4 linked regions of the Nothobranchius furzeri genome follow. The protein of the gene in region 1 interacts with the protein of each later gene in a pairwise test. Links are inferred from orthologs where the notes say so. Each region holds a gene or a part of one and is shown on either strand. Other genes may lie near its edges.

Evidence for each region.
Region 2: the proteins of cyth1b (region 1) and itgb2 interact in a two-hybrid assay, tested with the Homo sapiens proteins (2 studies listed by BioGRID). The link is inferred for Nothobranchius furzeri from reciprocal best matches to the Homo sapiens genes CYTH1 and ITGB2.
Region 3: the proteins of cyth1b (region 1) and itsn1 interact in a two-hybrid assay, tested with the Homo sapiens proteins (2 studies listed by BioGRID and IntAct). The link is inferred for Nothobranchius furzeri from reciprocal best matches to the Homo sapiens genes CYTH1 and ITSN1.
Region 4: the proteins of cyth1b (region 1) and cytip interact in binary tests that used the Homo sapiens proteins (3 or more experiments, as listed by UniProt). The link is inferred for Nothobranchius furzeri from reciprocal best matches to the Homo sapiens genes CYTH1 and CYTIP.

What each region holds. Positions count from the first base shown.
Region 1 is NC_091756.1:44,727,199-44,733,989, forward strand, and holds the start of cyth1b (cytohesin-1b), read right to left. Parts: upstream 4,342-6,791; 5' UTR 4,111-4,341; coding exon 4,023-4,110; intron 235-4,022; exon of another isoform or gene 91-234; coding exon of another isoform or gene 63-90; intron 1-62. UniProt on the Homo sapiens protein: Promotes guanine-nucleotide exchange on ARF1, ARF5 and ARF6. Promotes the activation of ARF factors through replacement of GDP with GTP.
Region 2 is NC_091746.1:33,743,188-33,749,869, forward strand, and holds the start of itgb2 (integrin beta-2), read right to left. Parts: upstream 3,557-6,682; 5' UTR 3,467-3,556; intron 1,174-3,466; 5' UTR 1,046-1,173; intron 1-1,045.
Region 3 is NC_091752.1:40,905,589-40,910,902, forward strand, and holds the end of itsn1 (intersectin-1), read right to left. Parts: intron 1,825-5,314; coding exon 1,716-1,824; intron 1,626-1,715; coding exon 1,477-1,625; 3' UTR 1,257-1,476; downstream 1-1,256. UniProt on the Homo sapiens protein: Adapter protein that provides a link between the endocytic membrane traffic and the actin assembly machinery. Acts as a guanine nucleotide exchange factor (GEF) for CDC42, and thereby stimulates actin nucleation mediated by WASL and the ARP2/3 complex.
Region 4 is NC_091754.1:18,854,993-18,861,510, forward strand, and holds the start of cytip (cytohesin-interacting protein), read right to left. Parts: upstream 3,557-6,518; 5' UTR 3,019-3,556; coding exon 2,872-3,018; intron 2,699-2,871; coding exon 2,652-2,698; intron 2,565-2,651; coding exon 2,510-2,564; intron 2,410-2,509; coding exon 2,307-2,409; intron 2,211-2,306; coding exon 2,117-2,210; intron 2,034-2,116; coding exon 1,967-2,033; intron 1,766-1,966; coding exon 1,699-1,765; intron 1,476-1,698; coding exon 1,000-1,475; 3' UTR 1-999. UniProt on the Homo sapiens protein: By its binding to cytohesin-1 (CYTH1), it modifies activation of ARFs by CYTH1 and its precise function may be to sequester CYTH1 in the cytoplasm.

The sequences.
Region 1 (6,791 bases):
AGCTAGTTAGCATCTGTGTTAGCTTTGCGTAGAGATAAAGGAGCGTCTGGGTGGAAACTCACCAACTCCGTCCTCCGACTTTAACACCATGTTGGTAAAGTTTGGTTCAAACTTGCCCGAAGACACAAACGTTAAACGTTCACTTTTATAAAGTTACCGGGTCACACCGTGAGACTCGTTTAGAACCTGTGTCTCGTTAAAATGACCGTGGATGTCAAGTGTGCGGAGAAACACCCGGTGACGGTGAGGGCAGGGTGAAGGGGCGGGGCCTCAATCTACAGCAACCAATCAGAGAGCGCCTATCTATCTATCTATCTATCTATCTATCTATCTATCTATCTATCTATCTATCTATCTATCTATCTATCTATCTATCTATCTATCTATCTATCTTGTTTTACTTTGTTACATAAGTTTCGGTTTAGGGTGCAATTACATAATATGCAAAAACATAAATAAGGTGGTCACTTGCAATTAAAAGGGCAATTTTGTTTTATTTAAAGTATTTTCTGAATTCAAAATTATATCAAAATTATTGATATTTTAAATTTATGTGACTGTTACACCTGCTTTGTGGTTTAGTAGGCTTTCCAGTTTTCCAGAAACATTCTGATGTCAGCATGAATCACTGTTTATCACTGTCTCATTGCAACAGCTGCTACAAAACTGTTTCCAAGTCTCACCGATTTATTAAATCCCCAGATTTTAGATCTTAAAAAAACTTCCTAGAAAATTTTGTTTGATTTAAATAAACTATGTATTTTATTCATCTTTGGTCTTCACAATCAGAGCTGCTTCTGCCTTTTTTCTCTCTTGATCAAATTTGTTCTGAGCTACAAGATACGCTTGAAGTTGAAAATTAATGAAAAAAGATAAATATTATTTAACAACCTATATAAATTAAAAACTGTAGTTTGAAATCAATGAACTACTGTATATTGTTGACTTATGTGCAAATTAAACTTTTGTCAAAAGGGAACAAAACATTTTCTGGTGAAAAATTTCTTAGAACAAACAAAACACTTAATTATGAAAGTCTATGTGATTATTTTATTACTGCAAAAAAAAACTATTTCACTCTTTAAATAATTAAGCATGCTTGAAAGTAGAGTGAGCATAAAACTGAGGCCATTTTGTGGAATATTTAATTGTGACTAACACATTTTCTTCCAAGATTTTAAAACGCTTGATAAAAACAACATTTCACTTTTACTTTTCTTTGTTTTTCAAATACATCACAATTTTGCATTAACTAGACAAGCTGCAGACCCCTGATCTAAGCAGTTCTCCAAGGAATGAGTTTTATTGTCTATTGTTTCTATTTCTTGGCTCAGTAATCTATTCTAAATACATAAAGTTAGTTTACCAGCAGTTTCCAGATAGACATCTTTAGCAGTTGCAGTGATTAATTAATAAATAAAAACAAATAAATATGTGAACTTATTCAAAAAAATCTTATAATTTGTCTTCAATCTGGATTTGTGTAACTTTTGTTCAGCAAGTTGGCAGTCAGGTAACTTTTTCCACATTTCCCCAGGAAGAGGAAACAGGGCTTGACCAGATATGTGTTGTAAAAAAGACATTAAAATAACAGCCCCCACCTGCTGAAGTGAAGCAACACATTCAGACTCATTAGTGTGAAGGCGAGGGGGCAGATCGGCTGTCGCTGATGGACCGGTGGTGTGTGAACGAATGTAAGGAAGGGAGAGGAAAGGGTGTAGTGAAGGACAGAGGAAAAAGAGGGCAAAGGATTGCAGCTGTGTGATTGAATCGCTGCTTTATGTGTAGATTGGACACACCAGAAACAGGATATGTCGAGGTGTGGTGAGAAAGAGCTGCTGAAGTGTAATGGGTCAGCCTAAAGAACACAACTTTCCTTTGGTTTGCCTAATTACTGGTGTTAAAGTTTTTCTAATTAAAGCAGATGCTTTTGTGTTTGAAGTGAAGAAGCCTGTGTGTGTGTGTGTATACACGTACCCTTGTTATTATTTTTCTTCTAATTATTCTCTTAAGTGTTGGTGCTGCTGTAACAAGTGACTTTCCACTAAATAAAGTCTGCTCTATCCTCGAGGTCATCAGAGGGGAGCAGGAGCGTCTAATATCACTGATCACTGACCAGTAGCTACTACATGTCACTAATGATGATGATTCCTCCCACTTTGGTTCAAACTATGTTACGCACAAAACAGGGTCGAAAACTGCATAAGCGACTTTCCACGCAAACTTTGGGATTTATGAAAGAAAACTTAGCGGAAAAATGTGCGCAACTTTAAGTTGACTAAGGACCTGGCTTACGCACGTTTTGGACATGGAGAGTACCTGCAGTGCTGCTGCTGAGAAGGATAAAATTATGAAATCCAGCAGCATTATCACTTGTACTGCTTTGTTTTCACACAGAACAAGACCCCCCCAAAATGCACACACATGTGCGCGCACACACACATGCGCGCACACTCACACACACGCACGTACGCACGCACACACACACACACACACACACACACACACACAGTTTGAAGCACAGAATACGTAATGCAGAATGTCAGCAGGGAGACAGATTGAAACAGAATGTCATGTGTCTGTGACAGTGTGTGTCCTGTCACTGTGACCCGATTGATCATGCACCCTGGCTACATGTACAGGGGAGATTTCCGTTTGGGTGACTGGTTAGCGTGTGCGAATTTTACCTGGGAGTCTGGGGATCAAATCCTGATTGGATAATTTTTTTTTATGTCCGCCACAGATCTCTCTGAAGAACTCAGCATTGACGGCTTCGGCAACATTGTGTGACTCCGGATTTTTTCTTATTTGTTTTGCAAAAGCACTTCCTTTCATGTCTCTGCCTCACCCACAGGTACCTCAACTTCTGCTTATGAAATAGCGCTTCCTTGATCTGCGGTCGTGATCAAAATGCTGCAACAGCCGGCATATGTATATGCATGAGATCCACAAGGCAATTTGCATTGACTATTTATGGCAGTAAGTGGGCATGGTGAGGGCGGGATGTGACTAAAAAGCAACTGAGAACCTTTCTAGATAGTTTCTGATTTATGAAGCAGAGATTGCGTGCAGCTGTGCGTACTCCATGTTTGATAGATCACATACCTACTTGGCGTAAGTACATTTTTTTTGCTGAGCTTAAGTATGGTTTTAGTAAGGATTCTATGCAATGTTTGATAAATGAGACCCCTGGTGTCTTCATTTGAACCCTTTTGGATTCCCATGAACTGGATGACTGAGAACCTTTACCAGCATATCTAATTAATTTGACTTTTTATTTTAAATTGGACAAATGTCTGCTGAGGTTTGTCCTTTCTGCTGAAATAATGGCGTCTAAGGGTACAGATATAATTTTAAACTAAGTTTGACCAGTATAAGCCATAAGAGGGAGTCTTCTTAATATCTAAAAGGGATTATTGGTGAAATCTTCCCTGTTTTAGTGACTTCAAAGCTTAAAACAAAATGTAAATTCGGACAATAGAAACTACAGAGTGCAGCTATATTCATGAAAACTGCAAGGGAAATGAACTTAACCCGTGTGAGGCTCCTTTCAAAGCACAATGATGGCTTTTGAACAAGTGCGTTGACGCAAAAAAAAAGGCACCTGCACGGAGGGAGAGCAGTGGGCAGTGATGGAGATTATGTCACTCCAGCACCCACTGGAGAGGAGGATCCTGGACCAGGCGAGGATGATGAGGGGCGTGCGTCATGTTCTCAAATCAAGCCCACCTTCTCACACAAAACACACACGCACTGACTCATGTGTACACATGAACGCAGAAATGTCAGAAACACAGCATGGCACACACACACACACACACACACACACACACACACACACACACACACACACAGAGAAAGAAAGCTTCATCCTGAAAAATCACCACGGCAACTAAACACTGGAGATACTTTGTTTTCCATTCATCAAACAAAAGCAGCACATTTTTTTATCTCAAACATTTAAACTATAAGATTATAGCAAGTTAAAACATGTTAAGTGTTTAAAATTAAGGATCACTCACCTGAAGCAGCAGCAGGTGTCCCTGTTCGAACTGCAGGACACAGAAAAGCTTGGAAACTGGACGCACACAGCTCACTCACAGTCCCCATCACAACACAGTCACTGATTTACAACAAAAACAAACCGACTCAGGTTAGCAGAATCCTCTCAGCATCCTGCTGCTTTTCTCCCTGAAGCATCTGTGGACTCTGGTCCCTTGAAGAAAGAAGCATCCGTGTTTTCTTCCCAAGCGCCACCAGACTCTGACAAACTCTCAGAGAAATACTCTCCACTCTGCTCTCTCTCCTCCCTCCCTCCTCGCTGTTGTTCACACCACTTGACCTCTCCCGAATTCAGCTTCTCTCTTCCTCTGCTGCACACATCCAAATAAATATAAACATTAAAAACACACACCGTTCTGTCAAAGGGGAGTTTAAATAAGTAGAGGTGGCTTTAGTGTTTATAGAAACACACGCCTACTGCTGTGTCACTTTGAACAGTTGTTATAAAAACTATTCTTGGAAACACACACACACACACACACACACACACACACACACACACACACACACACACACACACGCACGCATACATGCACACACACATGTACCTTATATCCTCCTGTTTCACACCTCCACACAGACGCCTCAGTGCCCAGTTTGGTTTAGGCTGAACATACAGCTAGATGTGAGTGGAAAGATGCATTACTGCTAATTATTAAAGCCCTTGTGAGTAATGTTCAACTTGATCCACAAGTTTGAAAGCAACAATATACAAAAAACTCACAAAAAAACCTTATTTGTTATGTACGTTAGTGAATATTTATTTCTAGCCCTTTGTTTTATTGTTGTTTACTGTAAATGCTAAAGTTTGAGGAGAAAGTGACTGAAGAGTCAAGATGAGAACCTGTATTTTCACAAAATACTTAATTAACTCAATTACAGTCCAAGGTTCTTTGACGACGAGGGGAACATTTTGCTAGGACTAACTCATTAAAAGTTTTTAATCATCCCTTTTCCCTCATATTTTGCTTCCAGTGAGCTTAATTTTCTTGCATTCTTCTAAATGGTCTAGAAATCAACCAGGTTTTAGAAAGTCTTTAAAAGATTTTAACAGAACTTTAATCTGAATAGTTCAGTTCTTTTTGGCTGATTGTGTGTGTGTGTGTGTGTGTGTGTGTGTGCGTGCGTGCGTGCGTGTGTGTGTGTGTGTGTGTGTGTGTGTGTGTGTGTGTGTGTGTGTGTGTTTGTGTTCACCAGAACATATAGCAAATAAATAATAGACAATCAAGTCAATATGGTACAGTCTCCTTTCAGAAAGAGTGAATTGATCACATTTAATTGATTGGATCAATAAAAAAAATGAAGAAAATAGTTTGACAAATGAACACAATTTTAGCACCAAGGAAGTGGTTCTCACAAAGCTGTTGGATCAAATCTTGATGTACAAATGAACAAATGATGTTATAAGGTCTGTGTAAGGATCTCAGCAGGATTTTTTTGGTAACACTTTACAATAAGGGTCCATTCATTAACGTTACATGCATTATTAAACATTAATATATTATTAAATAAATACTGCTTAACCATATTATGCAATGCATTATTAAGCAGATACCCACCCCAGCCTTTTCTCCTTAAGGACACTTAATAGTTAACAATGACGGTAACATTAATAAAGGGACCCTTATTGTAAAGTACAGATTTTTCTTTTCTTTTTCTCGGTCTTCAGCTTGACTCTTCTTATCGTTTTAAACACAAACTGCATCGTAACATCAAGAAAATGACTGGAAAAGGTCCTAAAAACCTTTAAAGGCCTGGAGAAAATTAAGATACGTTATAAAAAAAATCTCTCTGCTTGGAAGCAAAATATATAAAGTAAATAGAGATTTAAACTTTGCAGTTTTGTCTGATGAATAAAAAAGGTAACAATCAGACAAACAACGTTGATGCCAGTATCCCTGCAACAGCTGAGTGTTCTGAGTGTCCCGATCATGTTTCAGAGAAACAGGTTCAAGTAAAAACATGTGAAACATGTCAGCAGCTGTCAGGGAGCCCTGGTGTGTTGTTCCTCTGGCTCCTTTATTTAGACCTAACCCAAATAGAAGCTGCATCTGCTGTACAGGAGCGGGGCTGCTGTCTAGACAAACACCATATGAGTGAGGTGGACATCCATCCAAAAAGGATCCTTCCTTTGTTTTAATACAGAACATCTCTCCATTCTTTCTCTCCATCATGTCTCCGTTCTTCTTTTTGTTCATTAAATCTGTTTGATCTCCTTCGTTCCTCTCCTCTCCACAGAGCTGACATCCTTTCTCTCACACTTGACCTCGTCCTCCTTTCAACTTTCTCTGCCACTTATTATCGCTCCAGTCCCAGAGTGACTGTTCTATGAGGGGCCGATTTTAAAGTAGTGGATTGTTTAAATTAACAGCTACATTTGACCACTTTAGCATTTTCAACAATTACATGTAATTACACTTGGCTCTTTGTGAAAATGAAAACTTTGTCACCATTTCACAATATTGTTTCAATAAATCACAATGTTATGTCTAATTGTTTAAATCCTAAGCATCTGAAAAGATGTTTAGGATCAATCAATAAATAATTAAATATAGAGAATAAACAGAAAGTGTATAATGTTAAACTTAAATCTTTTAAAAATGGTCTAAATACCCATAATTAAACCTAAATTTTCAGAATAATATACCCATAAGTCTAATGATAAACATTTAAAAATAATCACAAATGTTTTAATTTAAATAACCAGAACCCCGTACAACACCAACATA
Region 2 (6,682 bases), on another chromosome or scaffold:
GCAGTCACCCAGGGGAGCATCTCACTGACCAGCCGTGCAGATTCAGACGACTACGGCCTTTGATATCTAGAAGTCAAGCAACTCTTTTACTCAGAAGACTCTCCACCCGCCGCATCGCCAAGAACCCTCATCACACGGGTACCATAGCTCTGCACACTGGCTTTTGATGGGTTTTAATTAATTTGATAACTAATTAAACATCACTGCTTTTAGCCAGATTATTTTTATAATCCCAGATATCACATCCTTTTCTAAAACACTTAATTAGAAACTAAAGTTTCATTTAAGTTTGGTTATTGTCTCAGTTGATTTTACCTTAAATAGCCATTTATCTACACTTATTCTGTATGATCATTAGAAATATAGTAATAAATAGATTTTTATAAACTATTTACGTCTGTGTCAAATTATTGGTAAGTGTTGGTTCCCTGGCTACCCAAAGTCAACTGTTTCCAGTGTCAACTGGATATTAAAGGCTCGATAATATTATTGATTAATAATTTTTAGGAACATCACATCTGTTGAATACCTTTCATATTTCATTGACAGTTTAATAATTGCAACCACGTACACAACGTCACAGACCACCACAGGTACGTGACCCTCCATTAGTGGTGAGCAGAATACATTTTTGTTTAGTATTCCTCCCAACAGAACTATGTAAGCTAAGTAGTGACAGCAAAAAAGATGAGTGTTTTACTATCCTTCCTCCTAATGGAAACAACTGAAAAAGGAGGTGCAGTGGAAAACATATGGTAGACTGAAGCAGGGTTGGGACTACACCTTTACATGTGACTTGTGTTAACATTGATTACGCCGGCAGCTGTTAGCAAACAGGAAGGGAACACCTAGACATCAGATGCCAGTGCCTGTTGATTATGTAGCTGTAAAAGTTCAACACACTGGCATGTTCTGTAAGAGTTCGCTGTTACTGATGAAGGATTCAGACCAAAGCCCCTTCAACACATTTGTTCATATTAAACTATGATTTTTTTTTCAAGTGATTTATTTATTTTGACACATTCATCGATTTTTAGTCACGTACCTTTAAAAGACGTGTGTTAAAGTGGTGCACAGTCACCAGTTTCCACGAGTTTTCTGTTACACAGGAGAAACAGATGCTGCTGAACTCAGACTGGAACAAGTTGCATCCTCCGTTATTATGCCATTTACCTACGGAAATAACAATGATACACTTATTTATTTGACATCAGTTAAAAAAAGATGTGAATGTGACCCAGAAGAACGGTAGATGACCGACGGGAGAAAGACTCCATGGTAAATGGTAAATGGCCTGTATTTGGTATAGCGCCTTTGAGAGTCCTGGAACCCCCCAAGGCACTTTACAACACAATCAGTCATTCACCCATTCACACACCTATTCACACCCTGGTGGTGATGAGCTACATTGTAGCCACAGCTGCCCTGGGGCACACTGACAGCTGTCTGCATTTAACAGCCGCCACCGGTCCCTCCGGCCACCACCAGCAGGCAGGGTGGGTTAATAAAGCTTCCTCCATGAGTGTTTCTAAGGAGTTTCATTGCCTGCTTGATGGTAAAACCTTTACAACAACACGACAGTAACAAACACCTATGAAGGGCCAACAAGGACATTATATCAGATGACCTTCTCTAAAGTGTGAAAATGGACACTGTACAACATCAACCGGCTGCATATGTGCAGCCTTCATTTAGTTGTTTTACACTCTGACATCAGTGACACCTTTTGCATTACTTAGGTGGTGGCCTGGGATGGTCTCAAATTCCCAGCCTGACTCATTGTCCCACATATTCTATGTATATTTCATTCTAGGTTCCATTTTTAGCCTTTGATTAAAAGTTTAGTAAAATATTGATTAGGGAGCTTTTCCTGAAATACATAGGAAATAAGCACCATACCATGCACTCCAAGTATTAGTTTTGTTTGATCACACTCCTGTCTGGTTCATGGTGGCACAGCAGAATACTCTTAACACGGTTCTTCTGCCCCCTACAATTTCACGCCCCAGCTGGCTGGCCCCTTCAAAATTTCTTCAGGATTTTTTTAGTTTCTTCATTGTCGTTTACATCCAGAATTTTTTCTTTTGATTCACCTTTCATAATGTTGATTTCATTTGTGTTTAAACCAATAGATGAGTAATGTCTGAAAGGGAGACTGAGCCAATGCTCCCTTGTAGGATAACATGCATGTGGTGGGGACTGATATGGGATGTTCTCTTGTCTGGTGTGCTCTTCCTGGTGGGTAATTTCAGTGTGGCTGAAGCATTTCAGACAGAATTCTCTCCATGCTGTATTTTTTTATTTTATTTTTTTTACAATAATCTAAACAAAATGAACCAGCAAGAATGGAATAGAATACTTTATTTTCATTGCATAAAGCAACATACAAGATTTGTCCAGTTCTAAGATGGACATACACCAAATGTACATTCATACATGCTCTGCCGCTGGCTCAAAATATCTGTGATGTGATGCAGCTGTGTGTAAAAGCCACAGAGTTCTGTGATGAACTAAAAGCGAACGGTTGCAGTTTGTCACGACTTCACACCATAAAAGGAAGCAGCTGGAGGCTGAAGATCTAACTGAGTTACTGTAACTTCCTGTTTCTCACCCGGGCTTAACCGGTTCAGCTGAATCCTCTGTTTACCTGAATCTTAACTTGAGTTATTAAACTTAAACCTGAAACACAGTAATGTGACATCTGCTCTGACTCAAGTTAGAAACATTCTGTAAAACCTGCCAGTTCACATGAGCATCACCCTGGTGTCCCACAGGGATGGGTCAAGGCACCATCAAGTTTGCAAAATATCAGTGGGCTATTATTTAAAACACAGGAAAACAATCACATTTTGCCATGAAGCTACTTTCATTTCCAAAAGAGGGCAATCTCTCCTGAAAACAGAAGTATTCACACAACCCCACTAACTTCCTGTTTTATTGCTCTATTCTCAAAAAGGAAACACTTCTGACAGAGTATTTAAAACAAAACAATTAAAGTTGGATTTTGCTTTGTTCATCCAACATGAAAACCTCAACAGGTTGTTTAAAACCACAAACTGGGAAGTTCATCCAGTTTCAGACACAATCATTTAATGAGCTTTCAAACCAAACAAAAGACAGTTTCAGAAAACTGGCCTCACTCATGTTCCCTAAAAGGTGACCAACCCAGACAGCCTTCAGTTTAATGAGGTCCTGAACCAACAGTACTTCTGGTGCAGTTCTGTCTGTAGATTAGTACGTAAAGCTTATTTATAAAGCATCACAGAAATAATCACCAAGGAAACCACATCAAACTTAAAACATGATTAAAAGGCAACCAATAAAATGAAAGATTGTTAAAAAGCAAATGAATAATAATAATTAACAACAAAAAAGATTATAAATAAAGATTCTGAAAAAAAAATTGGCTTGCAGCAATTCTCAGCAAAACTCATAATAACGACATAAGAAAATGCTGTCAACTCACCAGAGCCTTCACTGTGCTTTTTTTGAGCAGCTGCGGAGTTACTGGAAACAGAACCCTGACAAACTCCGCCCACAGCACAGGTCCTTCCTCTTGTGTTAGCTTTATGTTTCTATTTAAAAATATCTATTTAATATATTATTATTTATCATCCAATGTGTTTCTTGTTAGTCTGTATCCATGAGAAGTTGGTTTTTAGTATTTGTATTATGGCCTCTTACAGCTATGGTAACATCTGTGGTGTTACAGGTCAATTTAAAGTCTTACTTACCACAGGAACAAGGCAAGACATTAATAAAATGTAGATTTGCAAGGTTAAACAAATAACCTAAAATGGTGCAAGGCCATGCAGTGGTATGCATGTGCATCAGAGTAATCCCTCTAAGGTGATCTTAGCAGAGCTCATGTTTTCAGCAGAGGCACGGCATATTTGTTCTAGGTCGATAAAATGTCTCTGTGTAAGAACATGCACGTGTGTGTTTTGATGCATGTGTGGCAAAATGTGCAACTTTTAGTGGTTTGGCTGAATTATTATTATAATTTTTTTTTGCAATGACAGCAGTGTGTGTTTCTGCTGCTGATGCTAGATGTGCCTTAACATCCCTTTCTTTTAGAATCATGGGGTCTAACAGGGTTACGACTGTAGCTGTTGATACAGGCGTTTGCTGACACTGATGCTCTTCCTGTGGGCGTGGATGGAGAGCTCGGTGCAGCTTCCTTAAAGCTGAGGCAGCTCAGAGTGTGCCTTAACTAGGGAACTTCCTAATTCTTCAAGACACATTCTCCTCTTGTACCTACAGGTTGAGTTCCTCCCTTGGTGAATGTTAGAAGAAGAAGAAGAAGAAGAAGAAGAAGAAGAAGAAGAAGAAGAAAATATCATTTCTATAGCGCCTCTCAAGATAAAAATCACGAGGCGCTTCACAAAAACAAAAATTGTAAAAACATAAAGCATTTAGAAAATGTTTAAAAATATATTTAAAATGAGCAAAAATAGACAATTGTGATTAAAAAATGTTAAGAAAGAGAGAGAGTGAACAGGAAAGAGGGAAATCAGTGGATCCTGAGGAAGGTGGAATAGGTGGGGAGAGCAGAATAAAGAGAGTGGTGAAGAAGGTCATGCAAAAACCAGCTTGAACAAGTGAGTCTTCAGCTGTTTTATAAAGGAGACCACTGAGTCCACTCATCTCAGGCTCAGGAGGAGAGAGTTCCAGAGTCTGGGGGCCACAGCAGCAAATGATCTGTCACCTTTGGTCTTTAGCCTGGTGCTGCACATCCAGTAGGCTTTGATCACTGGACCTCAGGGACCTGCTGGGGGTGTAGGGACTGAGAAGATCACCAATGTAAGATGGTGCTTGTCTATGTAAGGCCCTATAGACCAGAACCAGGATCTTGAAATGAATCCTGAAGTTGACTGGCAGCCAGTGAAGCTGGAGGAGAAGCGGGGTGATGTGGGTGTGTTTGGAGGGCTTGGTCAGAAGCCGAGCACAGGCATTCTGAACCACCTGTAGACGGTTCAGGGAGGTTCTGCTCAGACACGTGAAAAGAGAGTTACAGTAGTCTAAGCGTGAGGAGATGAAGGTGTGGACAACTGTCTCAAGTTCAGAGCGGGACAGAATGGGACTCAGCTTAGCAATGTTCCTGAGATGGAAGAAGGAAGAGCGAACAAGAGAACTGACATGAGAATCCAGAGTGAGAGCTGGGTAAAAGGTCACGCCAAGATTCCTGACAGAAGGTTTGGTGTGGGGAGCAAGCTGACCAAGAGAGTCTCTGACAGCGAGCAGACACATGGAGGATGTTACAACACAATCATTGGTCATTTGCTACCAAGTGTAGGTGGCAGTCAGCTTGTCCACTCCTTGTTCGTGTTGGGCTAGGATAAAAGTCTTTGTCATGTCCTGATGACAGCAACCATCAGTACCAGACAACAGCAGTGGTGGTGCCTGTGCTTCACCTGCGACATCTGAGCGAGCAGCTCAGGTTTATATGTGCACTCCCCATCATGGTGAGTTTCCCTATATTTTCAGGGAAGCTGCTTGCAGATTTCCAGGTGTAAATCTGCAGCCATATTTGCCTGGTTTACTGGGAGAGGAATTTCCCACATTCAACATTTTTATAATTATATAGTTTTCTGGAGAAAAAAAATAAAATATAAATTAACAGATTTAGTTACTCTCACCGAAGAATCAGAACACACAGTGTAAAATGACAAGGCCTTTTATTTTGAAACAGGCTGATCAGAGCATAGAAAGACAGGTTCTCACAGGCATTAGAATGAACTCAGAACAGGACTGGTGGTTCATGAGGCCTTCATGATCGCTCATCCTGTCACCAAGAGTGAGCTCCTCAGGCTTTAAGGCATTTCACTACATTGGCATGAAGAGGGCTGGGTAGAGAGGTCCGAGTCCAGACGGTCATTTTTAGATTCCATACTTCTGCTTCAGCTCCTCCACCAGCTTGATGTACTCACTAATGGCATCCTCCTTGTTCTTGCCTGGTCAAAAGAGAAAACATAGACTTAAAACTCATCAAATAACCCAAAGTCTCAACAGTGACTTCCTTTATATTTAGTAAATGGCCTGCATCTTTGTAGCACTTATCGTGGAGATTACAAAGTGCTTTACAGTACCATCGTACACAGACACACACACACACACACACACACACACACACACACACACGGTGATGAGCTACATTGTAGCCCCAGCAGCTCTGGAAACACTGACAGCAGTAAACAATGATCTCCAACCTTTCTGCTTCTCCCAGGCATCCCATTTAGCTTTCCCAGTGAAATCCAGCATCCCTGGACGAGCTGGAAGGAGACAACACACTGGTTTCAGAAACCAAGAAGAAATTCCATCTGTTTTAGAGATTATTGAGTTTATTATCAAAGTCAAGTTTGAGAACCAAGGAGAACTTCTCATAGGAGATACTGTAGTTTATATTGAAATGACTCAAATCTAATATAATCTGAAGGTATGAAGTCCTCCTTCACATTGACCTGTATTCAAACTCAAAGATGACTTGGATTAATCAGTTTTAAAGGGAAAGTTTTACAAACATGTTCTGGAGTGATAAAATCAGTCTTCCGAGGTTTGTCAATAAATCATCTGGTAATTCAATTCAAATCTGCTTCAAAAACCATTTAATATTTGAAGAGAGGAATTAAATAAAATAATAAAATGGATTTCGAAATGAAGAAACTTTTAAAGTTTTGATGAA
Region 3 (5,314 bases), on another chromosome or scaffold:
ATCTGCAGCTGTCTCACAAATACATCCAGCTGTAGCTGAAATAAAGCAAAATGGAGGAAAAGCAAATCTTTCACAATATTAATAATGAAAAACATATTTATATTTTTAAATGATCCATTTAGGGATGATAATTTATCTGGAGACTCCTGGAAGCAGAGGCTTCAGATTTGAAGCTTCAGATATCATCAAGAGGAGAGAGTGATTTGTTTTTATTTAAAAAGCAAATAAAAGATTGATAGTAGTCGGACTATAGCTCATTAGTTCAAGACTATTTCAGCTAATGTCTGTTGAGATCATGAGGCAGGAAGCAACTAAGAGCAGCTACAATAAATGTGTATCAAGGTATAGGCAGAGACAATTATGCTAAAATGAAACAGACTTGCCTTCAAATATTTGTGTTGTTCCAGGCAATATTTCCTACACTGATTACTCAAAATGGTCTCTTTGATGGCTTAAAGAAACACATTTTTTCTCCAGGGAGTACCAACGAGCTTCTTCCGCTTTAAAGAAGCATGTTCCCTTGTTGCATAGAGACGACCACTAGGACAGCTTGAGATGTGTGACTGAAAGGATCTAAATCTATGACCAATATTGGTCCCAAGCATTAAAAAAACGAGTTAAGAAATTCTTCCTCCCAGTACTTTGATTTAATTCAGCTTTGAACTTGTTCACTGTACCCACTGTAACTTTAACTGGTACCTCATCATGACCGTAGTCTGTAGTCTACACTGGACACTTGTCATGTATGGAGTAAAAATCTGTCTATACTTTAGCTTATTAGCACTGTTAGTATTTCTCAATACAACTGTACATATTTACCCTTTCCTAGGATCCTGTGGCAAGTGTTCAGCAGACAATAAAAAACAACCCTCTGAATGTCCCTTTATGTTCTGTAGCTTGGAAAGGTCTGTAGGATGCGGCATAAAAAATGTAGACTAAACTTGCGCTTTACGTTGCCTGTCCACCTTACGCGCACACACACACACACACATGCGCACGGATACACACAGCAGTTTGTTTAGATGACAAAGGGATTGTCACCAGAGCGTCTGTAGGACAGACTGGCTGAAGCAGCAGGAGGAAACAGGAAAAACCCATCTGATGTTCAGCTTTGGACCACACGGAAGGAGGACACGAGCAGAATAGACTGGACACAACTGGGCTGGAAACTGGTCTAGGTTTGATTTCTAGATGGATCCATTTCCATCATGGTGCAGATGAGTTAATCTGGATAGCCCGATATGCTAGATAGTGAATGAGAGTTTGGGGAAATGACAGAATCGTGGAGTCAAACACGCCACATTTCTAGACAGGGACACCTTTCAGCAACTATCTATTATTATGAGGAATAATATAAACATTCTACTTGAAAAGCTCCAGACCAAAGCAGGTCTCCAGTCTGGTCTGTTCCAGTCCAGCTGCGGAGTCCAGTACCCATCTCTGATCCCTTTTTTGGCCCAATCCAGTTTTCGGGGTTCACGGTTCCTCAAACAGCTGGAGGTCCAGCCTAACAACGATCTCCCCTGTGGGGACCTCGTGGAGCAGCAGCCTCTTTGTGATTGGTCCTTTTGAGCCCTGGTCTTTTTTAATTTCAGCCAACCGGATCTCAGTCCTGCCGAGGAAATCTGCAGGAAACAGGATGAGAGGATAAATCTGAAGCATCTTTAACCTGGACGGGTGACAGGAAACAGGATGGTGTAAAAACTGTTACAGACCATCAGGAGAGAACTGGTCTCGCTCAAACACAGTGATGCAGAGGACGTCCTGCTCAAGGTCCTTTATAAAAAACTGACAGTTGGAATTCCACTTGGGATTCAATGTGTCCTGCACACACAGAAGACAGCAAACTGAACCAGCGGAGTTCCTCTCAGAGAAATCATATTTGGCCTCGTGTAAACAATGACATTTATTAACGTGATAGAGCCATTCGCTATTTTACTGACCAGTGAGACACAAGCTCAAAATTAGGCTCAATGTTCGTAGAAGTTGAGCCATCAAACTAGAGCTGTGTCCAAATCCTTCCCAGGTTGCATTAGAAGGGAGATTACATCAGTGATGCAACAGAGGCTGTCCACATTCAGGCATCTCCAAATTTGTCTTTCTTGTCCCCAAATTTGAAGGATGGCTCTGGTGTATCCTTACTGGCCCACACCATCCCAGGATTCATAGCTAGCCAAAAATGACTTTTGTTCTTGTAACAACGGTGGACGAAGTGGGAGAGGATAAAAGTTTTCAATGTTTGGTTAACCCTCTGGAGGCAGGCGTTGCAGATTCGCAATAGTTAAAACCTACCTACCTGATTACTTCACATACGTGTTTCATGAGCATTTTTTAACTCAGAAGTACCCCTGAAGGACTTAGTTTTTTGTCCTTTTATCAAAACTTATTTTGAGCCTGAGAGGGTTAATAATATATGGTGGTACAAAGATTAAAAGTGGTTGTGTTGTTTAGTTGTTGTAATTATGTTTAAATGTATGTTTTTTCCAGAAATCATAAGAAAAATACTTGAAAGCAAGCTCACACTTCGGTATTCACCACTCATCCAACGTGTGAAACCTGCTGTGAGGACAATTAAAGTGTGGTCAGAGGGGACAGACGCGGTGCTCCAGGACAGATTTAAAAACACAGACTGGAATATGTTCACCAACACAGACCTGGACCAGTACGCCTAATCTGTACTGGATTACATCTCCGTAACCACAGACAGTGTCACCACCCAGAAAAGGATCACCATGTACCCCAATCAGAAGCCTTGGATGAACCGGGATGTTCGTCTCCTACTGAAGGCCCGCAACACCGCTTTTAGGACAGGAGATGCACACACCTACAGTACAGCCAGGGCTAATCTAAAGAAGGGCATCAAAAAAGCCAAACACCATTACAAAAAGAAGATAGAAGAACACTTCTCCAACTCCAACCCCTGACACATGTGGCAAGGACTCCAGACCATCAGAGACTACAGGATCACCAAACCCTCCCCCGCATCCTCTGATGTTTCCTTCCTCAACAAGCTCAACAACTTTTATGCTCATTTTGAGCGAGGGAACCTCACAACCACAACCATAACAGACATGACGCCAGACCACCAACCTCTGACTCTCTCCCCCACCGATGTACAAGCGGTGCTGAGCAGGATCAATGTCCACAAGGCTGCAGGCCCTGATGGCATCCCTGGGCGTGTTCTCAGAGCGTGCTCTGGGGAGCACGCAGGTGTGCTCACAGACATATTCAATCTGTCCTTGGCCCATGCTGTGGTACCGGCCTGCTTCAAATCCAGCTCCATCGTCCCGATACCCAAAAACTCCAACCCATCTAGCCTCAATGACTACCGCCCGGTAGCACTCACCCCCATCATCACTAAGTGCTTAGAGCAGCTGGTCTTAGCACACTTCAAATCCAGTCTCCCCCCCCACCCTGGACCCCCACCAATTTGCATACCGCCAGAACAGGAGCACAGAGGATGCAGTCTCCATTGCACTGCACTCTGTCCTCTCACACTTGGACAACAACAACACCTACGCCAGAATGCTGTTTATAGACTTCAGTTCAGCATTCAATACAATCCACCCCTCACAACTCATCAGGAAACTGACAGACCTGGGGATCAGTTCCCTCACCTGCAAATGGTTACTGGACTTCCTGACCAACCGCCCTCAACATGTCCGACTGGATAACCGCTGCTCATCAACAGTCACAATGAATCCTGGTGTACCACAAGGCTGTGTGATGAGCCCTTTCCTCTACTCCCTTTTCACCCACGACTGCAGACCTGCTGATGGTTCCAACACCATCATTAAGTTTGCAGATGACACCACGGTGATGGGCCTCATCAGTGATGATGATGAGACCGCCTACAGGGAGGAGGTGGACCGTCTGACTGAGTGGTGCGACACAAACAACCTGCTGCTCAACACTGAGAAGACTAAGGAGCTCATCGTGGACTACAGGAGGAATGCTGACCCACATCCACCCATCCACATTAAGGGGACGGCAGTGGAGCGTGTGAGCAGCTTCAAGTTCCTGGGAGTCCACATCTCAGAGGATCTCACCTGGACTACCAACTGCTCCAAGCTGGTCAAGAAGGCTCACCAGCACCTCTTCTTCTTGAGGACTCTGAAGAAGAACAACCTGTCCTCAGACATCCTGGTGAACTTCTATCGCTGCACCATCGAGAGCATCCTGACCAACTGTATAACAGTCTGGTATGGGAACTGCTCCGCCTCGGACCGGAAGGCGTTGCAGAGGGTCGGGAAAACTGCCCAGCGCATCGCCGGTGCACCACTTCCTGCCATAAAGGACATCTACAGAAAGCGGTGTCTGAAAAGGGCTGGGAAAATCATCAGAGACCACAGTCACCCATCACATGCACTGATCACCCTGCTGCCCTCTGGGAGACGTTACAGGAGCCTCCGGACTAAGACCACCAGGTACTCTTCCCCACAGCTGTCAGACTCCTGAACTCTGCCTCCTGACATATGACCCACGTTAAACTCATGGACTGCTTGTATTAACTACAGCCTGTACATACTTGTAGTCATAGAATACGCATAAAATAATTCATACCGTGTACATTATAACATACGTAATAGATCCATTTCTGTAATATACTTACACATCTATATTATTGCTAATATATATTGTTCTACATCTATATCACGGCTAAAGCACTTCTGGATGGATGCAAACTGCATTTCGTTGCCCTGTACCTGTACATGTGCAATGACAATAAAGCTGAATTCTATTCTATTCTAATTCAATATGGAGGGTCCAATTTTTCTTCGTGTATTTCTATCAAGTTCAGTTTGAACTTCAGTTTGGCACTGTCACTGTTGCTAAGCGACAGGACATATGTTGAAGCAGGGACAGGAATAAATACGAAGACATGACCGTCCAAATTCGCATCTGGTTCTTGCGGTCTACGTGGACCAGGTGAGACGGGTCCTGACAAGAACACAGCCGAGGAGTCGCATCAAAGAAGTTCTTGATCCGTGAACACTAGGTGTTTCTGATATTTGAGGGTGTACATTTTCATGTTTCTACATTACTTTAAAGTCCCATAGTCATCATACACTGGTGAAATTCATCTCTGCATGTGAACCATCCTCGTGGGGAGCGGTGAGCTGCAGCAGTGGCTGCACTCAGGAACTATTTGGTGGCTTAACCCTCCAGTCCAACCTCTTAATGCTGAGTGTCGAGCAGGGAGGCATTGGGTCCCATTGTTAAGGTCTTTGGTATGACCCGACCAGGTTTTGAATCCGATCTCCCAGTCCCAGGGCGGACACTCTACCACTAGGCCACTGAGAAGGTTATTTAT
Region 4 (6,518 bases), on another chromosome or scaffold:
TTCAGAGCAAAGAAATTCAGTTGAAGCAGATGTGGTTTCGAAGTGATTTTAGAAAAGAAAAAAGAAAAGTAAAGTAGTACTCTTCCGCCCACATCCTGTTTTGAACTAAGCAAGCGTATATGTGTGTACGGTGTAGATTTGGTTTTGGTTTGGGCACCTGGAAGTCTGCTTAAATGTTCTTTAGGTCACATTTTAAAACTGAATGCGCATTATTAAATCTCAATCTGCTCTGGTTAATGCTACTAGCACTGAGGTACAAAAAGGAAATTCTCATTCAAGTTAGTAGGATACAGTAATTCATCTTCTGTACATTTCAGTCTGTCGGGTGTACATTCATCCAACACATTCATTTTGTAATGCTTTCCCACTCATTGTAATTTCAGTGAAGCTCACTGAAGGCTCAAAAAGCATTAAGGTAAACCTTCACCCAAAAAAGGTAGTCCTTTTTCACTTGATGGGTTCACTCAAACCCAAGTTTGAGAAAACTTATAATAGTTCTGTGGTCAATACAAAACATATTTATGAAGTTATTTCCATATAAAGAATATCACATAAAGAGATCTCAGCAGTTTTGATGGTTTAAGCACCTTCCAGAATGAGCCGTTTCAGGTCTCTGTCACTTTAAGAAAACAAGCTGGAGCTGGCCACGCCCACTCATCCCCCGCTCAAGCTGCTGTAAGCTGAGAAGCTCAGATATCTGTAAGGGGCTTGAAGTAGAGCCACAGCTCCTCCAGCCTGGAGATGTCAGAGGGGGCTCTATGCAAATGTCCCCGTTTGTGACATCACAAATGAGGGCCTTTTAAAGCGGCTTGTTTTAAGCATCCAATACCTGAAACCAAACATTGACGGGTGGTTTTGATTTTCACATTTCAAGTGTTTATAGAGGCAGTAGAGACCCACATGGCCACACAAACAGATGCAAAAAGTGAGTTGTGCATAAGATGCCCCCTTTAAAGTGTCCAATCGTATTGTTGTGTCTACACATGGATGACCAGTAGGTCACTGAGTGGGTGTCGCCATCTCCTCCTCTTCCACTGATCTCTGAAGTGCAGGAATTAACTTAAAGATCTGTTGGCGCACAGTGCCTCTCCTGCTCTTTCTGGGCAGAGTTCCAAACAAGGACGAGATCCTCGTCTCATCCCAGGATGGAGATAAGGAGGTGTTGCTGCCGGCCAAGCTGGAGCTGCTGGAGCGGCTGAGGGCTTGGTGGTGCAGGCTGCTGGACGAGAGCCTCTTAGAGGCATCCTGTGTAGGAAAGTCTCTGGAGAAGAAGCAGCCATCATCCGTGGTGCTGATCGCGCTGCCAGGGCTGGGCGAGCTCAGCTCCCCGAACACGCTGGCCTGGTCGCTGTCGTCGGTCATCCCGCTCTTGTAGCTGCTGTCGCTGGAGAAACGTCGGCCGTGGCAAACGACAGGGGAATTCAGAGCAGCCTGGGCCTCCATGAGCAGGTCGAGGCTGCGGTTGTTTAAATTACCTGAGAAAACAAAACAAAGTTGCTGTCAGGAAAAGTTTCCACAACCGGAAGGTCATGCGCGGCTTCTGCTGTATGCTGATTTCTCAGGGAAACACCAGCAGCAAAATCATCGACAGTTTACGCGCAACAGCGTTTCACATGTTGAAGGCTGCTTTAGAAGAAAAGACTAGGCATGTGTGAGAAAGGAAGTGCTGTGGTCTGACAGCTGAGCCAAGCCTCTCACCTCGCAGTAAACGTTTTTCCTGTAATGTGAGCGCCTGGAGCTCCATCAGCTTCTCGCGATGCGACTGCTGCATGGGTGGAAGACATCACAGTTATGATTTACTAAATATGTCAGCTCAAAAAGTAAGGATTATAAATGAGAAAAGAGGCAATGGATTGACCTTTAGCTGCGTATCTATTTAAAAAGTGACTGTTTTTAGCTTCCAGGTGGGCTCTTGCAGGCTGATGAGCCCTTTTTAGAGCTGCTCAACACCAGTGAAGGGACTCACCTTGAGTTGGTCCAATCTCTTCTCCAGCTCTATCTGCTTCAGGATGTTCACACACCCAGTCTCCATCCTGAAACCAGATGATGACATAGTTATTATGCTAGTTTTAAATAAATAAGTGACATTTTGTTAAAGATCAGTGTTTTCTCTCACTTTAGGTTGTTGGTCGATTCTCGTATTAGATTAAGCACGAGTTCATGAGAGAGTCCTTCTATGCTGACCCCGTTGACAGTAATGATGACATCACCTATGACAAATAAAGTGAGAAATCATTATGGGATGAGTTTTGATGGGTTATCGTGTCTGAGTTGGGTCTATGTGGAGGAGGATGTGGGTGGTTTACCTGCGGTCAGCCCGGCACTCTCAGCGACGCTGTCCTCCTTCACCTTGCTTATGAAGGTGCACATCTCCACTGCAGAGCTGGTTTTCTGCTTCAATCCATATGTCTGCAAACAATAGGATCACACAAAAAAGCACTGTCATGCAAAACTATCATCTCCATCATAAGCAGAATGTGCATTTTACTACGCTTAAAGTAGAGCTTACCTGGATTTCAAATCCGAATGTTTCATTGTCGTGCTTCTCCAAAACGGTTGAGGTTCTGTGCAGAAGATTGTTGCAAGAATAATTGAGCGATGCGAACTTTTGTATGTAATAAATCTAAAACGGAGCGTTCTGGTCTGCTTACCTTTGTGGGTCTGAGTAATCAACCAGTGAGGTGGTGGTTGGCTTGGGCTGCAGATGGGAAAAAACGTTTCTTTTAAAAAATAATCAAAAATATTTCAACCTTTCATTAAAATGTTCTTTAGCTAATCCTTGTGTGAAGTTTGCAGTTATGAACCAGTTTTGACAAAAAGCCGTGTTAAAGATCATGCTTTATACAAACAGCAATTGGCTTGTCGTCTCACCTTGCAGGCTCTAGGTTGAGTTCCAGCGTTCTGTCGGTGTCGATCAGTGTTCCCCCTCAGTGAGCGCCGGTACCACAGAGGCTTCTTCTTCAGACTGTTCTCCTGCACCTCCTGGCTGCTCTCCCGCTGAAGTCCATTAAAATTCATGGTGTTTAAGTGGAGTTTGTTCTCAAAGCATCATCTTGTCCCGCTGCAGCGGCTCTTCTGTGATTGTGTGGCCCTGACCCGCTGTGCTGCCAAAAGCCAAATGTGTGACAGCGGAAATCCACGTCATGTGAGGGTTGTGGCGGACCTGCATCTGCAGATCACAGCCTACCACGCACCTATTTTCCTGTTCACCTCCTTTCAGCTTTTTCTCTCTCTTTCTTTAGAAGTGCTGCTCTGCTGTCTCGAAACGGGGAAAAGAGGAAGAGTGCTGATGCTATTGTGTCTAATTCCCCCCTTCAAAGAGTCCCTTTACTTTTTGTAGTCATAGCAATTCGATTTATGGTCTGTCAGAAAGCAGCAATGCATGAAAAGTTGCCACCTCACTCCCGCAGCAGCACCTGCTTGCACACTTTTTCACTCTCCGTTTCTCAATGGGCTAAGCCTCGGTCCCTGTGTTCTGCCAAGCAGGCAGACTTGTCTTGTGAGGGCGGACAAAAGGCTCAGGGGCCAGATTCGAACGTTTAAAACACATAGCATGGGTCATTGGGCTAAAAGCATCAGACATGGTTGGATCAGATGAACAATCACACACTGGGCCGGACAGAAGTCAGGGAGACTGTGGTAAACGAGTTAAAGGAACTTCTCTCTCTGCAACACTTGTGATTTTTTAAATGTCTTCATGGAAACCTGAAAACTGTTTCAGCAACAGTGCATTAGAAAAACACATGAAAGATTCCTGAAATAATAGGTTGCGTCACAGTAATCCACTCCGTTCCACTGATCCTCCGCTGGCCAGCTGATCACGAGACTGTCTGGAACATTTCAGAGGACGCTGCAAATCCCCAGCCACCCCATTAGATATTACATCGCGTCCAAAAAAACATTTTAGTTATCTGTTCTGAACACCAAACCCTGTCTTTTTCATTAAAAAATAAAGCTATTTGACAAGCTGTGACAAACTAGACTCAAGATCTGTTTAATTTCTGCTAAAATTTGGACATTTTATCCTCTTTTTGCAAAGAAAATGTGCATTTTTAAATAGGCATCCACAGATGTGTGTTCTTCTGTACAAACTAATATCCTCGTCTTCAGCAGCTCCTCAGCCCTTTTGCAGAAGCATCATTGTTTCAAGTGTCTTTATAATTTGCATATTTGTCTACCAGTTTCCTCACATATGCTGCCTGTTTCAAATCCCCCCCAGCAACAACTAAGTGGGTTTTATCTGTCTAGTTCAATAACCCTTTTACTTCTTTTTATTAGTTGATTTGTCAATGTGCATAAGAGTTTCTGGTTTTAAATGCAAAATGTGTTGTTTCACTTGTTACTTCTGCTGATTTCTCTGCATCCACAGATCATAACACTTCCACCCACATGCTTCACATTTGAGGTTCTTGCTTTTAAAAAAAAGAAGTGGTTTAGTAACTGACATGATTTGCTTGTGCAAAACAGTTTGTTTTATTCACAGTTCATCTGGTCGATTTTTTAGCTTTTCGGTCATTTCAAAATGCAAATTGTTGCAAACAAATGCAAGATTTTCCTGCAGATTTGCAGTTCTTGAAGCTTTTTGAATTGAATGGATTTAGTGGGATAAATCGGATAAATACACAAGAGGTGTGCATTATTTTTGTAAATACAACTTGACAAATGGGAAGTGATTATATGTTTGTAGCATGAATCAAGATCTAAAATTCTTCTGGGTGTGATTCTAAATATTCTTTATCAAGTTGTCTGTTGTGTGTGGGGAAAATACAGTTTCATTCTATTTTTTAAATGTCATTATTGTGCTTTAAATGTTTTTACAGCTATTCGGGTCAACCAGTACCTAAATTAATTATATGTCGAGATTAAACTGGTCCATGTCATCTGTAGATCCTCCACCGGAGGATAGAAGACAGGTGTAGAACTGAATATTTGCACATTTCTGATGAATATACTAGTCCTAATATTGGAAGTGCTGCATATAGCAAAAAAACTAGTCTACATGAGGTTAAAATAGCACTAGTTAGTTTTTAATGATGTTGCTTTCAAACTGGTTTCAGTGCTTCTTGAGTCAGAAACTTGATCTGCTCGACATTGACACTCTGCTGCCCTCTGCTGACCAGAAACTACACTTAACAGTTTTGTGGTTCTAGTTGGCACCATAGGTCTCTTACTTCGGACAGCTAACCGTTCTCTAGCTGAGGGTGAGTGCACGGCTCAAATAAAAATACTCATAACTCAATGAAATATTAACGGATTTACAAACGGTTTGCCTCATTACAAACCGTATGATACATAGACTTGATGCGGGAAACTTACACATGTAGAAATTACCGTTATTACTTTTGAAACACGACATAACTGTGAACAATGTGTCCCGGCTAAGCTATGTTGCGCGTTAGGTTGAGAGAGAGACCACAATCAATATTTTTATAGGGTTCGTATGGTTCAACGAAAGTAAGAAGTGTACGTAAACCTAATGTTTGTCTAAATGGCTGTCTTGGTGGATGTTTTAGTGTTTATTAGCTGTCTAACTTGGCTTAGAGAAGACGAGGCTGCCGTGGCTGCGCCGCTTAGCTACAACGTTTTTACCTCAGTGGAAGCTGAGGGTAAAATTGCCCTTGTTTTCCAGGCGGCTTACTTTGTAAAAAAAATGTAAAAAACTTAGACTGAAGTATATTAAAATAGCGGAAATTGCTGGCTTTGTTTTTACAGAAATACACGTGAAACCCAACAAGCATGACTTTTGTGCTGCCTATGGATGCTCTAATAGACGATGTCTTCAATCACGGCAACGTGGGATCACCTTTCATTCGTAAGATTTAACAAAAACATTCAACTGTGTTAGGCTGATTAGTCTCTGTCATCTGCTTTGCTTTTAACTGCTTTTTAGAAATAACAGTGATGGCAAAGTTTAAGATCTATCAGCTAACTGTGATTTTAAAAAGGTTAATTGCTTGAATTCAAGATTTCTTGGTTAATCAATCATTGCATGTTTCTGTCTTGACACCATTTATTTAACTATTGTTTGTCTTATGTTCATGTTAAAGGAAAAGGCTGTAAACTATTTAGAATGATTTATAAAGCTGCCTACATTTTGTCTCTTGTTTAAGATTTCTCAAAGATGGAGAAAGAAGGAGGCAGTGGGAAGTTGCCCTAAGAAGTGTCTGCGATCTTCCTCAGAGCTGACGCTCAGTGGCGTCACGATCAAAACTGTCAGCAAGGTAAAAAACCTTCCCCGTGTTTCAAAAATAAGCTAAAAAAGCAGTCAGAAGAAAAACACAAAAGATGTTTGCTGTCTTTTGAAAAACTGCTGGCTTATCAAATCCCCCTGAGAAATACATACAATGAATAAATTCCACACTTACTAATCATTACTTGTTTGCCTTTAGGTAGTCAAACTAAAGTTCTTGTCTTATGTCTCACCTGACATCATATTGTTCTAAAGGCCTATGTAAAGTATAAAGGCAACCACATTGTCCAGTTACATTGGTATTTGTAATTTCAGGATTCGTCGTGCG